3 linked regions of the Oryctolagus cuniculus genome follow. The protein of the gene in region 1 purifies or fractionates together with the protein of each later gene. This does not show direct contact. Links are inferred from orthologs where the notes say so. Each region holds a gene or a part of one and is shown on either strand. Other genes may lie near its edges. The genes, in order: POLR2H, POLR3K and POLR1D.

What was found.
Region 2: the proteins of POLR2H (region 1) and POLR3K purify together in Homo sapiens (affinity purification with mass spectrometry; 3 studies listed by BioGRID and IntAct, with this or other methods). This does not show direct contact. The link is inferred for Oryctolagus cuniculus from reciprocal best matches to the Homo sapiens genes POLR2H and POLR3K.
Region 3: the proteins of POLR2H (region 1) and POLR1D purify together in Homo sapiens (affinity purification with mass spectrometry; 4 studies listed by BioGRID and IntAct, with this or other methods). This does not show direct contact. The link is inferred for Oryctolagus cuniculus from reciprocal best matches to the Homo sapiens genes POLR2H and POLR1D.

Annotation. Positions count from the first base shown.
Region 1 is NC_091435.1:93,932,476-93,936,173, reverse strand, and holds the start of POLR2H (DNA-directed RNA polymerases I, II, and III subunit RPABC3), read right to left. Parts: upstream 2,943-3,698; 5' UTR 2,432-2,942; coding exon 2,359-2,431; intron 312-2,358; coding exon 228-311; intron 145-227; coding exon 51-144; intron 1-50. UniProt on the Homo sapiens protein: DNA-dependent RNA polymerase catalyzes the transcription of DNA into RNA using the four ribonucleoside triphosphates as substrates.
Region 2 is NC_091450.1:34,577,182-34,579,997, forward strand, and holds the end of POLR3K (DNA-directed RNA polymerase III subunit RPC10), read left to right. Parts: intron 1-2,100; coding exon 2,101-2,228; downstream 2,229-2,816. UniProt on the Homo sapiens protein: Core component of RNA polymerase III (Pol III) which synthesizes small non-coding RNAs using the four ribonucleoside triphosphates as substrates. Can mediate Pol I proofreading of the nascent RNA transcript.
Region 3 is NC_091440.1:86,895,687-86,899,434, forward strand, and holds the start of POLR1D (protein POLR1D), read right to left. Parts: upstream 2,611-3,748; 5' UTR 2,458-2,610; coding exon 2,432-2,457; intron 1-2,431.

The sequences.
Region 1 (3,698 bases):
TGATCTCAGTCCTCAGCGTGTATTCCAGGCCTCCCATCCCCACTCCTTACCGGGAAGGCCTGTCATCTGTAGGGTTGTATTCCCCATCATCCAGGGTCCCGTCTTCATACAAGGTACTAGCTATGACCAACCGGAACTTGTCACCTGAAAACAGCAGCAATATCTGGGCGTAAAGAATAGCTGAGACGGCAAGAAGCCTCTGTTGATTCTCTGGGTTCAATACTTACCCAGGTCCACAGGGTAAATCTGAATGTTTACATCTAAGATGAGGTCCATCTTGAAAGATTCGCTCTCACAGTGCAGTCGAGACACTGGGGAGAAGCAGAGAGACGGACGATGTAATTACCAGGGCAAAGGCAGATCTGACAGATCCCAGTTTGGGAATTACAGGCAATCGACTATTTAATGTAACCTGATCTACATCCACTGGCCTCTTATGTGCTCTCACAGAAGTGCAGGCACAGGGCATATTGGGTAAAGCCGCCACCTGCAGCACTGGCATCCCAAATGAGTGCTGGTTCGAGTCCCTGCTGCTCTACTTCTGATCCAGCTCTCTGCTATGGCCTGGGAAGGCAGAAGATGGTCCAAGTCCTTGGGCTCCTGCACTCATGTGGGAGACCTGGAAGAAGCTCCTGGCTTCGGATCAGCCCAGCCCATGCCATTGCAACCATTTGGGGGAATGAATCAGCAGATGGAAGACCTCTCTTTCTCTCTGCCTCTGCCTCTCTGTAACTCTGCCTTTCAAACAAGTAAGTAAATCTTAAAAAAAAAAAAAAAAAAAAAAAAGTGCAGGCACTGCAGTGCAGTGGGCAGAGCTGCTGTGTACGAGGTGGGCATTCTGTATCAGAGCACCAGTTGGAAGAGGCTGCTTTGCTTCTGATCCAGCTCCCAGATCACTTTGGCTTCACCCAGCCCCAGGCACTGAGGCCACCTGGGGAGTGAAGCAGTGGATGGAAGACCTCTTTCACTGTCTCTCCCTATCTCTGTCTTTCAAATAAATAAAACAAACCTTAAAAAAAAGAGAGAGAGAGAGAGAGAAATGCAGGCTCGCTCAGAACCAGATATGCATGGAGGACAAAAACCATGGCAGGGGCCAGCGATTGTGGATTAGTGGGCAAAGCCCCACCTGCAGTGCTGGCATCCCATATGGGTGCCGGTTCAAGTCCCAGCTGCTCCACTTCCAATCCCTGCTAATGCACCCGGGAAAGCAGAAGAGGATGGCCCAGGTCCTTGGGCCCCTGCACCCACGTGGGAGACCTGGAAGAAGCTCCAGGAGCCTGGCTTCAGATCAGTGCAGCTCCGGCCATTGTGGCCATCTGGGCAGTGAACCAACGGATTAAAGACCCCTCTCTCTCTCTGTAATTCTGCCTTTCATATAAATAAATAAGTCTTTAAAAATTAATAATTGGGGCTGGCACTATGGCGCAGTGGGTTGACGCCCTGACCTAAGGCGCCGGCATCCCATATGGGTGCCAGTTCATATCCTGGCTGCTCCACTTCCAACCCAACTCTCTGCTGTGGCCTGGGAAAGCAGTAGAGGATAGCCCAAGTCCTTGGGCCCCTGCACCGTGTGGGAGACCTGGAAGAAGCTCCTGGCTCCTGGCTTCAGATCAGCACAGCTCCAGCCGTTGTGGCCATCTGGGGAGTGAACCAAAGGATGGAAGACCTTTCTCTGTCTCTACCTCTCTCTCTTTCAAATAAATAAAATTAATCTTTAAAAAATAATAATAATTTTTTAAAAAAGCATGGCAAATGAATGGAATCCTGCCCCCAAATCAAAATATTCTAGCAGCAAAAGACAGAGTTCTAGGCACTACCTGGGTGATTTAGAACCTGGGTCTGGGCAAGGGACTTCTTCAACCAAAGGTGTCCTCTCCCATGCTAAGGGGATTATCTCACTGAATAACTGAGACTTGAAAAACACCTCGGGCGCCTGGCCTGCACCGCGCAGTTAACTCAGAGGGTCTGACATCAGCTGGAGACTCGACTCCACACAAGAATTCGGGCTCATAAGTCAGACTGACCACGGTGCAGCCTTGGGTGGCAAACTTACCCTCCAGGAGGAGAGGAAGGCACCACCTACCTCCTGGGAACTCTCGAGAGCACTAAATAAGGCAAAATGTGTGTAAGTGAGAGGCGACTGCAGAGACGTCCAGGAGCCTGCCACCACCATGGCACTGGGCACCGCGTGTGTGCAGCCAGGGAGAGCTCGGCGTCTCGGCTTTCTCATCCATAAAAGGTCTCCTGGGAGAGGCCCCTACATCAGGACCTGCCGCAAGGGCAGGCCACGTGAGCCGGAGCCCAGGGGTGTGTCCCGAGGAAGTTAGTTTCTTCGGCCAAACCCCACACCTTACCTACCTCGGTCAAACTTCTTGCCTTCCGGGTCAATGTCTTTCACATCGAAAATGTCCTCAAACAGGATGCCCGCCATCGTGAGGGGGCCACGAGAGCAGCGGAAACGCGAGGAGCGAGACCACAACTACGAGTTAGCCCACTCTCGCGTGGAAAAAGAAGACACTAGAGCAAAAGGCGCCTGAACGCTGGCGGCAGAGCAGCAGGAAAGCGCATGCGCACCAGCTTGCAGTACGGCAGCCACTTCCGCCGCCTCCACCTCGGGGATTCTCAACTTCCGCCCCGATAGATTGCTGGCGAGGGAACACGCATTGAGGGCGTGTCTCCGAGCCAGGTGACTCCGCCCAGGGCGGGAACGCCCCAAGCACCACCTCTGGCGGAGGTGGCTCGGGTTATCGCGCTCCGCTGGGGCTCCGCTTCGCCCTCTCCAGAGTCCGGGCCCTGAAGCCTGGAATGCTTGGAGACTTAACCCAGGCCGAGACCTTGATCTTTGCCCCAGAGAAGCCGGGCCCTAGCCCTACCCTGCCGGTCCTCGTGTCCCCCGAGGGCATAGTCCGCGCCGGGGACGGGTGCAACAAAACTCCGCCCCCAGAGCGCTAGCCCAGCAGGACGTAATGCCTAGTCCCTCAACTGGCACCGAGGGCCCCCAGGTCGGCGGGGGCTGGCTCGGCCCTGCTGGACGTCACCTGAGCCGGGGCCGTCCAGGATATCACTCCGGGGGAAAGGAAAGCTGGCACTGCCCTCCTCTGGCGCTGCACCCTCCCCCCACCACTGCCCTCTTCCCCTGGGCCCTGCTCGCTCCTTCCGCCTGCCACAAATCCCCTCACACTGCCCTACCCGTTAGCAGTGCCCCCTCAGCGTGTGCCGCGTGTTCCCCCAGCACTGCCCTCCTCTTGGATCACTTTCCTGTCTCTTCCTCCCGGGTGCTGGCCCCCTTCTCCCACAACCTCCCTTCCTTGGCCTCCTGCCGCCCTCCTGCACGCCGCGTCTGCGCTCGCTATCTCGAACGCTGCCCGTGCACCCCGTGCTCACCCCACCCTCTGTTCTCTCCTTCCCCGGACCCTGATAGAGAAAGCCAAACCCCAGCAGGCCGTTTCCCCAAGGCGGCGAGACGTCAGCAGCTCCTGGGGTTTTCCTTGGGCCCTGCCAGGAGAAGCGACCTCTGCCCACCCCACCCCACCCCCGACGCCTGCCTTCCAGGCACTAGAACTCCCTTCCCTCGGGCCTTTCTTTCCCAGTCCCCTTGCCCGCAAAATCCGGCGGGTCCGGTATTGCAGGGGCACCTCCTGAGGCTAGCCCCGAGCAAGGGCAGGAGCCCAGAATGGCCCTCCGAATCCCCCGCAGAG
Region 2 (2,816 bases), on another chromosome or scaffold:
TTGTTAACTGAGATTTCACTGGTGTTGAGAATCAACGCAGACATTTTCATTTTTACACAGTTCTTAACATGCAAGGCAGAATCTAGGAAGCCTGAATTTTCGTTCTGTTTTCAAAAGTCACTCCAGTCATTTCCAGCTTCAAATTTGGAGGCAGCTCTTCCCATCAAGCACCAGCATCTTCAAGCGTTGATGTGACATAAATCCCGCCCTTTACAGGGTAACATCCTGTATGTGACAGACTCAAAAACGTGAACTAAACCACTAGGGAAAGTGGACCCCCACAGCCAGAGATTGACAGAGCACACGTGGTCTGACAGCAACGCCGGGTGGTTTTCTGTCAGGACAGATGAAATGCACCTTTGCCGTTTAGTATGTGTTGTAGGATATAAAAGCCACCCCCACCTGTGGAGTGTCAAGCTGACGGCCACGACAGCCGAAGCCTCCCATGATGGACTGTGTTGTCTGTCTGTCTGTCTGTATTATTATAATGCTACTATTTTCTGGTTGTATCAAAAAACAAACAACCAGCAAGTGATTTCACCTCTTAAAAATTATTTACACTTGGCCAGTGCCGCGGCTCACTAGGCTAATCCTCCACCTAGCGGCACCGGCACACCAGGTTCTAGTCCCGGTTGGGGCGCCGGATTCTGTCCCGGTTGCCCTTCTTCCAGGCCAGCTCTCTGCTGTGGCCCGGGAGTGCAGTGGAGGATGGCCCAGGTGCTTGGGCCCTGCACCCCATGGGAGACCAGGAGAAGCACCTGGCTCCTGCCTTCAGATAGGCGCGGTGCACCGCTGGCCGCGGCGGCCATGGGAGGGTGAACCAGTGGCAAAAGGAAGACCTTTCTCTCTGTCTCTCTCTCTCACTGTCCACTCTGCCTGTCAAAAAAAAAAAAAAAAAAAGTTTCTAGAGCTACTGAAAAACGTGCATTTAAACAGTAGTTGGTAAATTATTCCTGTGGATTGCACGAGAAGGGAGACAGGCGTCTGATATTAACCAGGGCGTCTGATATTAATCAGACTTGGCTTCTTTCTCTTCCTTCATCAGAGGTCACTCTGCCTTTCAAATAGATCCGTAAATCTTTTAGAAACTATGCATGGACTGGAAACTGTTAGTTTCATTTTCTATGAGCTCTTTGAAATTCTCTTACACAGGCTTTTCAGTACTTACTTCAAAGCTGTTTGAGCCTCTCCCCATTACTCAGTCTCCAGCAGTTTGTTACAGCAGCACCAACCGTGGAGATAGCCCCCTTCCAAGTTACTTCTCTAATCAGTCTCCAGCCAGATGGGAGAGACGCAGGGTCCCAGGACGGGAGGAGTGTTTCACAGGGCACAGGTTCACCTGTCCCTTCAGTGTTCGAGCTTGGTGGGAGTGGAGCCTCTGTTGGTAGTGTCCTTAGTGATCTTACGAAGTGTCCCTCACCAGCATCGTTTTTGTGAAGATTTATCTGTTTGGGGTCAGCGCTGTGGCCCAGCAGGTTAAGCTGCCCCTGCAGCACCAGCTTCCCAGATGGGCGCCGGTTCAAGTTCAGTTGCTTCACTTCGCTTCCAGCTCCCTGCAAATGACCTGAGAAAAGCTGCGGGTGATGGCACAGGTCCTTGGGCCCCTGCTCCCACTTGGGAGACCCAGATGAAGCTCCTGGCTTTGGCCTGGCCCAGCCCTGTCTGTTGTAGCCATTTGGGGATGAACCAACAGGTGGACGTCTGTCTCTCCTTTTCTCTCTAACTCTTTCAAATAAACAAATAACTCTTTTTTAAAGATAAGATTTATTTGGAAGGCAAGATGACAGGGTAGGAGAGAAGGAGACCCTCCAACTGCTGGTTAATTCCCCAGATGTCTGTGATGGCCAAGGCTGGCCAGGCTGAGGCCAGTGCCTGGGTCTCCTGCACAGGTGGCAGTGCCCAGGTACTTGGGCCGTCCTCTGCTGCTCTTGCCCTGCACTAGCAGGGAGCTGGATCCGGAGTGGAGCATCCGGGACTCTAACCAGCGCCCACATAGGATGCCAGTGTCGCAGGCGGTGGCCCCCCACTGTGCCGCCATGCTGGCCCCACCAGCGTCATTTTATGTAATGTGGTTCCCTGGTTGGTTTTTCTCCTTTGCAGAGCCGTGTCCCAAGTGCGAACATCCTCGTGCTTACTTCATGCAGCTTCAGACGCGCTCTGCAGACGAGCCCATGACCACCTTCTACAAGTGCTGCAGCCCCCAGTGCGGGCACCGCTGGAGGGACTAGGGCTGCGCTGGCCCAGCTGTGCCGGTCCCCAGGGTGGACTCCTGGCAAGGAATGTGAGCTGTGTGTCCTAGGGTCTTCGCTGGTGTGGCAGAGAGCGAGCCCTCCTGAGGGCAGGGCCAGGGTGCCAGGAACATCGTCCGTCGGTGGATGAAGTCATCGGGGGCCAGAGAGTCCTCGTGGGCGAAGAGGAGACCCTCACTGTGTGCTCTGCTCGGGGGAGGAGACCCTCGCTGTGCACTGCTCAGGGGAGGAGACCCTCGCTGTCTTCTCTCTGCTGGGGGGAGACCCTCGCTGTGCGCTCTGCTGGGGGGGGGACCCTCGCTGTGTGCTCTGCTGGGGGGAGACCCTCACTGTGCGCTCTGCTGGGGGGGAGGAGACCCTCCTGTGCGCTGCTGGGGGGGAGGAGACCCTCGCTGTCTTCTCTCTGCTGGGGGGAGACCCTCGCTCTGTTCTCTCTGCTGGGGGGTGATGAGACCCTCGCTCTGTTCTCTCTGCTGAGGGGAGGAGACCCTCGCTGTCTTCTCTCTGCTCCAGGAGGAGACCCTTGCTGCTCTGCTCGGGGAGACCCTCACTCTGTTCTCTCTGCTC
Region 3 (3,748 bases), on another chromosome or scaffold:
CTCTTATGCAACACTTATTGTGTCTCACTATTATACCTATCCCCAAGGTACAAACCAGAAGCTCTATAAATAAATATCTTTAAAGAGGCTCTAGGGCAGCTCAACTAAGAGTTACTGAAAAGCTAACATGCCATAACTACCTACAGGGATTCATCTCATATTTACTAAGTGTCCACCTGCTGTCCAGTGTTGTGCTAGGTCCCAGGATCACACGAATAAATAGGATCAACTAAGGCCCCAAAGCACAGTGCATTGGGATATGGGAGTGCTCAGGCTCTAGGGTTGACAGGTATTTAGGATAATTGAAGAAGGAAGTTCTGGTATGACTGGTATGAAAGATGTTGAAGATGTAGACAGATACAATGGCTCTTGGATGTGATTTCACTAATATTTCAAGTTTTCCAAGTCATTTTCTCCACATGGTATTTTCCCTCTGTGTCCTTTCTCTCAAATAGTGTTTCTTCTATATGACCCTAGGCTACAGTTGGATACCTACTTAGACTAAAAATGTAATTTGCTCATTCCAGGTTTCTCCTCAGGCAGTAAACAATTATTCTATAGATGGTACAAAGATGGAGCTGGATAACTCCTGAGACCCTCATGTGAAACCAGAATTCTCAAAATTCTTTCAAATTATTCCCTAACCTTACCCAATCCCCTAAGAGAAAAGGATACAACTTTCTCATCAGTAAAATATCTAAGAAGCCAAGTCCACATCCTGACCTTCTTTCTTTTTGAAACCCACCAGTCTATCTGCGTAATGGTCTATTCCATCTCCTCTTTGCCTCACCACCCCAATCCTAGTCAGGAATGTATACTCCTTTTGATTCCCATGATGAAACCACTATTTTGGGTGCCTGATGCTCTGTTTTATCACTTTAAATGTTGGCTCTACTGCAAGCAAATAAAGTCATCCTTGAGGATGTTGCAAGGAACAGAAACCACTCAAAAATAGTTTCAATAAAAGAGGGAATTTATTAGGAGAATACACAGGTTCTTGCGGGGATTCCAACAGCTGTGATGAATGGGTCAACAGCTAGAACCATTTTTTTTTTTTTTTTTTGGAAAGATAGAGCAGGTTGTTGTAATCACAAACTTCTAATTCTGGGTTCTGCACAATCATGAAGAAGAGTATCCCAGAGATTAGTCCTCCTTGTATCCTGCACAAGGGACTAGAATGTGGATTCACTTCTGCTTGCTTTTTGATCCTTATAGTGCTTTATGCTGGCCTCAAACTTGTCAAGCACATGTTGGCAGACATTCATGAGCTCATTCAGCCCTCTCTGAAATGGCTCAACAGCTGGAAGAGCACCTCGAGTCTGAATGCGCAAATTAATTTTGCTCTCTGAAGGATGGGTCGTAGTGTAACCACAAAATTCCACTTCCGGGTTCTTCATAATCATGTAACGCAGAGAATTTCCTAGGGTATGGTCCTCCTCGTGCAAAACAAATGTCACACAGTGTCTATCTGTTCCAGCTGCCTGGACCATTTCCAGGGCTGTCTTCCTCTCGCCTTCGGCCATTGAGGTCTTCAATCCAGACATTTTTCTACACACATATTTTTTATAAAAGTGAGATCATACTGAATATTGTAACTAGCTTTTTTTTTCATTTACTATATCACAATTGCCACACATCATTACTCTAATCCACAGCAATTACACACAGAACTGTCAGCCTCTCTCTTTTCTGCCTCCACCACTTCTACCAATGAATATTTAATTTGCTGACTCCAGTTTCTCCCTGCTCCATTAACTATCCACGTGGGCCACACGGAGCATCTTCTTAGAAAAACATACACTTAAGTGTCTGCAAAGACATTTCTTTTGGAAGAGTCACAAGAAAGGGATATAGCATAGGGTGAGCCCTGCTGGAAGAGGAAAAGGGAGTTGAAGGTGTAGAAAAACACAAGATTGCTCCAGCATATAAACAGAGACTACAGATTATCAATGTGCAGGCCCAACTATGGCTTCCACTTGCAAGAGGTAAGGAAGCTAGGAAACGGTAAGAGCTGAAACAGTACAGCGGGAGGGAGAAACAGAACTCAGCGCTTTGAGGCAGGGCTACACGGCTAACAGTCTGCACGGAGGAGGAGGGAGAGCGGTAGTGACGGGGGGGCTTAAGCCGGACTGAATACGCCGCTGTTCTAACGGGGTTGGGCAGTTTCGGGACCCAACTCTGCTCTGCCAACTGGTCCGCCCTCCTCGAGAACTACTGTCCCTCGGAGCGCCTCTATTCAAACACATCCACGACTCCTCCCTTCTCCTCCCCGTCGGGCCCTGTTCCCTCTCTCAGCGTCCCGGGTCGGGCCCCTGCTGCTCTGCAGGGCCGCGGAGGTTAGGCCCGGGCCGGGCCGCGTGCCCGGTACCGCCCGCTCCCCTGCCTGGGCGCGGCCTACTCCGCCCGCCCCGCCCGCCTTCTCGGCCGTTACCTCTCCAGCTCTTGGTCGTCCTCCATCGCGGGTGCCGGTTCCAGGATCCTCAGGTGGTGCTGGCCGATCGGAGGCTCTGCCCCATGCCGCGAGCTGAGCGGCTGAGGCAGGAAGGAAGGAACGACGGACGGAAGAAGGCGGCGACGGAAGGAGGGAGGAGGAGCCGCAGCGGCGCGGCAGGGTCCGGGCGCTGGGCGGGACGTGGAGGCTCCGCCCCCGGCCCCGCCCCCGGCGCGAGGAGGGCGGTGGCGCCGGGCCCGAGCCGCTCACCTGGCGCGCCCCCAGCCTGGCGGCGTGCGGGGCGAGCCGGGAGGAGGGCGGCGGAGGGCCCGCTGGCGTCGCACCCGGAGGCCCCGGTCACAGTGCGTGCGCCCGAGCTCCACCTTTGGTACCGTCTCCCCAACTGGTGGCGAAGGGGGCAGGGCCTTACCTGCCGCCCCCACATCACCTCCCTTCTTGGGACCCAAGTCCGGCCTGCTAGACTCGACTGGAACCCTGTGGCCTCCCGGGAATCCAACCTCTTGTGGGACCGCAGGCTTGGGCTATACCGTCCTTAAATAGGAGGGGCTGAGTCTCGTTAACAGAACGTGGTGCTTCAAGACAGTACTCAGTGGGGTTCTTGCAGCTAAGCATCTCCCCCGGGACACAGGACAAGCGTTTACCGTTTTCCTTAGGGGAGAAGTGGGAGTTTGGGAGCACACTCACCCACCCCGTCCTTTCCTTCCCCCGGCCATGCACCTCCCTTCCACCCTTTTCTTTACCCCTTCTGCACCCCACCCCCGGGGAACCTCCCTCTCATCTTTGTTCCCAGGCGTCCCCTACCCCGCTTCGGCAGCCTTTCCTCGGCGGGGTTCCCTCTCCGGCCCCTTCCTCTCTGGGAGTGTTCAGTGCTGCTCCCCGCTGCTCACCCCCGGCTCCCGCAACCTCTCTAACGCCGGCCAGCCCCGGTCGCTGCCCTCTACCCCGGCTGTCCTCTCGCCCAGCACACCTACACGCCTGCTCTCCCGCGCCACCTGTTCCCCTCGACCTCCCCCCACCCCGCTCCGTGCGTCCCCTGCTCAGCTGTCCCGCTGTCCCCGCGGCTGCCCGGCGCTCGCTCACACACTTGCCGAGCGCCTTCCACAGAGGAATCAGGCGAGCGGCGGGGACAGCCCCAGGCGGGTGGGGGAGGGCGAGGGGCGAGGGACGGAGTAGGTTCACTCTAACCTAGGAATGACGGCCCCTCCTGGTCCGCCCCCTGCGTTCTCTGATAGGTGGATCCGCCTCTGATCCGCCCCCTCCCCGCCCTGTGGCGCCGCCGATTGGCCCAGCAGCGTG